Kluyveromyces lactis: one gene and its partner. The protein of the gene in region 2 purifies or fractionates together with the protein of the main gene of each other region. This does not show direct contact. Links are inferred from orthologs where the notes say so. Each region holds a gene or a part of one and is shown on either strand. Other genes may lie near its edges.

The links. Proteins that work in one complex are often made in the same cells at the same time.
Region 1: the proteins of QCR7 (region 2) and CBP4 purify together in Saccharomyces cerevisiae (affinity purification with western blotting; 3 studies listed by BioGRID, with this or other methods). This does not show direct contact. The link is inferred for Kluyveromyces lactis from reciprocal best matches to the Saccharomyces cerevisiae genes QCR7 and CBP4.

What each region holds. Positions count from the first base shown.
Region 1 is NC_006042.1:1,404,512-1,407,086, forward strand, and holds CBP4 (Cbp4p), read left to right. Parts: upstream 1-1,528; coding exon 1,529-1,960; downstream 1,961-2,575. Other genes in the region: ERG1 (squalene monooxygenase), read left to right, coding at 1-949; APS3 (Aps3p), read right to left, coding at 2,287-2,575.
Region 2 is NC_006039.1:60,526-62,954, forward strand, and holds QCR7 (ubiquinol--cytochrome-c reductase subunit 7), read right to left. Parts: upstream 1,045-2,429; coding exon 661-1,044; downstream 1-660. Other genes in the region: KLLA0_C00803g (uncharacterized protein), read left to right, coding at 1-55; KLLA0_C00847g (uncharacterized protein), read right to left, coding at 1,631-2,429. UniProt on the Saccharomyces cerevisiae protein: Component of the ubiquinol-cytochrome c oxidoreductase, a multisubunit transmembrane complex that is part of the mitochondrial electron transport chain which drives oxidative phosphorylation.

The sequences.
Region 1 (2,575 bases), on a different chromosome or scaffold from region 2:
AGAAAACGAAGTAGTTGGTGCTAAGGTCGAAATCCCAGGTCGTGGTAAAGAAGACTTCAAAGCACATTTGACTTTTGTATGTGATGGTATCTTTTCTCGCTTTAGAAAAGAGCTCTCCCCAGATCATATCCCCTCTGTTGGATCCTCTTTCGTCGGTATGTCTTTGTTCCATGCAAACATTCCATCGAAGAACCATGGTCATGTTATTCTAGGTACTTCACATATGCCCGTGCTCGTATATCAAATCTCCTCTGAAGAAACAAGAATTCTATGTGCATACAATTCAGCAAGACTACCTAAAGATATAAAGTCGTGGTTGACTACTGATGTTAAACCATACTTACCTAAATCTTTGTTGCCATCGTTTGATAAAGCGGTTGAAGATGGTAAATTCAGATCAATGCCAAACTCTTACCTACCAGCAAAGCAAAATACTGTCACCGGATTATGCGTCATCGGAGATGCCTTGAATATGAGACATCCTTTGACTGGTGGTGGGATGGCTGTTGGCTTGAACGACGTTGCTCTACTAATCAAGACTGTTGGTGATTTAGATTTCTCAGACAGAGAGACTGTCCTTGATGAATTACTAGAATACCATTTCGAAAGAAAGCAATATGACAGTGTCATCAATGTACTATCCATCGCTTTATACTCATTGTTTGCTGCAGACAACAGAAACTTACAAGTATTACAAAGAGGTTGTTTCAAATATTTCGAAAGAGGTGGAGACTGTATTAGATTGCCAGTAAGTTTCTTGGCTGGTGTTCTTCCAAAACCGTTCTTGTTGACCAAGGTGTTTTTCTCAGTGGCATTGTACTCCATATATGTTAACTTCCAAGAAAGAGGCATTTTGGGATCCCCTCTGGCATTATTAGAGGCATTTGCTATCCTATTTACAGCTGCAAAAGTGTTTACTCCTTACTTGTTCAAAGAATTGATAGGTTAATGTGGTTGCTGAAATCCATCCGCCAAAGAAATTCAAAGATAGAAATATAAACTAATGATAATAATAGACTTCTGAGAGTAAAAAAGTAGCTTCAGATTATTTGATCCTACATTCTCTCATAATGACTTTTTTTTGCCTTCGCTTTTATCTATACATGTGATGAACGCATCTGACAGAGATGTTGAGGATACTAACTTATTCAATTTTAATATATACATGTGTGTAGTAAGCAACTCCTGGGCCACACCACCTGTAGTTTTTTACCGTAATAATCTCGCTTGTTCTATCCGCCTACAGACTCCTTCATGGGCTGTACTAATCCATGTTCTCTCGACAAAGCTGTCCTACGTTGCGCTTCTTCAAACCACTAACGGTGATTATTTGTATATATATGTTAGTTGTTACCCGCACATATTAGCTTATGGCTAAAGCCTCTGGAAAAAGTAATTATAACGGAGCTAACCTTTAAAAGTAGACAGAGATGTGGAGCAACGCTGAGTTTACACTCTTGATGAGACAGTTAAGAGCCGTATCACACCAGTGAAGCGTTGCATTTATCACGTTTATTTATTTTTTAGCATGGAGTCTTCGGGTTTTTTACGCTGGGGTAAAGTTTTCGCTGCAGGAGGCAGTATTATATTAACTGGTGTGCTTTTATTCAAATATACAACACCAACCGATGAGCAACTCCTTCAAGCATTATCACCGGAGTTGAGGCTACAGTATGAGAGAGAGAGGAATCTACGTCAAGCTGAGCAGCAAGAACTAATGAAAGTTGTACAGCAAACCATGAAGAGTAAAGATCCTATTTGGAAAACAGGAACGGTCGATTCACCATGGGAAAGAAATGGAACTCAAGCCACTAAGGACCAGTTCCAAAGATTGAAGGCAGATCAAGTTCAGAAGGAAGAGTTGGAACGGATCAGACAGGAATTGGATAAGATTAGAATGGAGAGTCTGGACCAAACAGATATGATCGTTTCCAAAAAGAGCTGGTGGAGTCTGTGGTAAATGCTGGTATTCTACGTTTCGATATCGGATTTCTCTCGAAACCGAGTTTAGAGCTCAATTTGCATTATTTTTTCCTCAAACTTTATGGCGGAAACCAATCCATCCACGTTGATGAATCGGTTATCTGAAAGTTACTTTACTAACCGCCTGTAGATATTATTTATCGTTGTTTTCGAAATCAATGGAGTGTATATAATTTTTCCATGAGTTTCGACTTTATTTATTCATATGATATTATTATAATCCACTATTAACTATTATGCTGCAAGGCCTATCAACATTAATATGACATTGGCGTTAAGATAGCGGGGTTATTTTCTGATTTATCATTGATGTGACCCCCAAGCACTGAAATTTGAATAACTGAACGCCTGGAACGCCTCAGAGATTCGATTCCCTGCTAGTTTGGTGAAAGAATTTTCACTTTCATTAGCGTTATTCAATTCATCTACAGCACTTACGATTTTCCTTACATTGGTCTCTATCACCAATCCACCTTGGATAATCTCTTCAAGTACACTTTCCAATGTTTGCCAATTGAAGATTAAGTCTAGCTCATTCACTTCTTCGAAACATTTATCCAATGCCTCTACAAACGTTTGAATCAAATCTAAG
Region 2 (2,429 bases):
AAAGCACGGGAGATTTAACATAATTTCATCTTTGTTCACAAGATCTAAGCGTTGAAGATCAAATGTCTCGTCGTTTTAATAAATGAAATAGCCGATTCGGTTATTACGCGTTATGACCCAAACTTTATAGAACTGGTCACTTCGTGGGAATCAAAATTGTAGTATTGCAAAAGGACAATTCCTTTTCCTCACATGTAACATTATACCACAATCATTATATTTTCTTTTCCAGCAAATATCAATATATCCAAACGCTTAATTACTATGAGAAATTACATAATACCATCAATACCAGAACATAATTAATAGTAACGATGCCAATACTTTGGTAAAACCAATTTTAAATGAAAGTATCAAAAATGAATGATGTAAATCAGATTGGTATATATAGATATATATACATAAGTTAGAATAATAAAGATATATTTGTCAGAGGTTGATATTCACAAAGTTTAGAGATAAATAAGTTGTTTCATTCCTAGAAGAAAATATGATAACGATAATAGCGTCTGCGTTAGCTGGCTATGCAAGTAACGGATATATTGAATTTGAAATCTTTTGCGATCATAATGTAATGTGTTTCCTTCTTCTTTCTCTTCGTCAGAGGGTCATGAGTAATTTTTTTGAATGATATTTTGAATAATTCAGTCAAGGATGAGATTATTTGGCAACTTCCAAGTTGTCCAATTCTTCCTTTTCCTTAACAAAGGCTTCAGCTTCCAACAAATAAGGAGTCAAGTATGGAATGTCATCTTCTGGTTTGGTCCACTTATCTTTTGGCAACAAATGGTGGGACAAAGATAGTTGGTGGGCATTGATGATTCTGTAAATTCTAGCGTAGGATTCATCGGCTGGTAGTCTTCTCAAAGCAGTTTGGGCAAGCTCGTTCTCTTCTTCAATCAAGTCATCGAATCTCAAACCCATCTTTCTGTAACCAGACAAGTTGATGAACTGGTGAGCGATTGGAACGACAACTTTAGCAAGAGCTGGGGTTCTTAAAATGTAGTCACCGATCTTAGCAATAGAAGTAAATGTTTGTGGCATTTGTAATGTGAAACGTGGTTGTTACTTGAGCGTTCGGCCTTCTAAGAATAAGTCAGAAGCTCTGAAACAAATCGGAAAGCTTCGTAAAGTAAATGGAACTTTGACAAAATGTTACCAATGTTTAGTGGTAATGTATTGAATGAAAAGTTTTGATAATCTGCAAAAAATTGTTTCTATCGAGCTAATATTATGTATTAAGCGTTAAAACCGAAAAACTCAAAAAAATCGAAGAACTGGTTAGTACTGACTAAGAAACAGGTACACCACATAATATATTTTAAATTATCGAAATTCATTGGTCAAATATCACGTGATCACTACTGAACCGAAGTGCGGACGCCCATCGTCTGTTCTGGAACTTCACTGGTGAGTTGCCTTCATGATAGCCCGTAACTAGTCGAAATCTATTGATGGTATTGCATTGCACAATTATTTACTATACGTGATTGTTTAGTAGCCAGTCCGCTTTGGAAATCAACCATCGAGCAATTTTACCAGTGAACCATGAATTCACATCATAAACATAAGAAAGTGTGTTAGCCACCTGGGGGCAGCCCATAGACTTATTTTTCACACTAAAGCTTATTCAATAGTGATATTCTGTTGGTTTAGCGCCTGCAGTGCTAGGGAAGGAACACTCTAATAGCAATTTGGTCACAGCCGATGGGTTTTCATTGAGGACTTTCAAAGTCTCATCCCACTTTACCAACACTAAACCCGCGTATCCAGTAGCATTGAAGCCAATACTAGGAGTTTCTGCAAATGCCTTCGATCTAGGCACCAAACATAGCCATTCTTTTGTCATCAGCACGTTATATGCCGGAATACTGGCCTCATCGTCATTTGATTTTTCTGCGTTACTTCCCTCCCAATCCTGGAACATAGATAAAGTTCTCTGCAACAATGATACAAATGTCATTGCTAGTAGATCTTCATCCACTTTTTCAGGATCCTCAGGTAATGGAACGGCGTAGTGTGCAAATGGGATTTTTGCATCTTGTAAAGGTTCAGTCTTAGCGTTCGGAATGAAATGTTCTTTACCACTACATAACTTATCCTGGTAAGGAACGAATTTATAAGGTAATGGAAGGATTTGAAGATGCTTGTGATCCTGAGAAGAACCACTGTTTGGGCCACAGTTATAGAAGGCCAAATGTCTCAACATCTCATCTTCGTCATCTAATTCTTGCAATAATTTATAAGTAGTTAACAAATCTTTGGGACTTAAAGGAGCTGTCTGCAACAAGTACTTTTTCGTTACTAGTATCAAATGGTTTGCGGCAACTGGGTATTTGTTCAGTAATAACTTATAATCACCGGCACAATCATCGAGAATTGTTAATTCAGGTTCAGGTTCTGCGAACGGATCTTTCTTTGGTATAGGG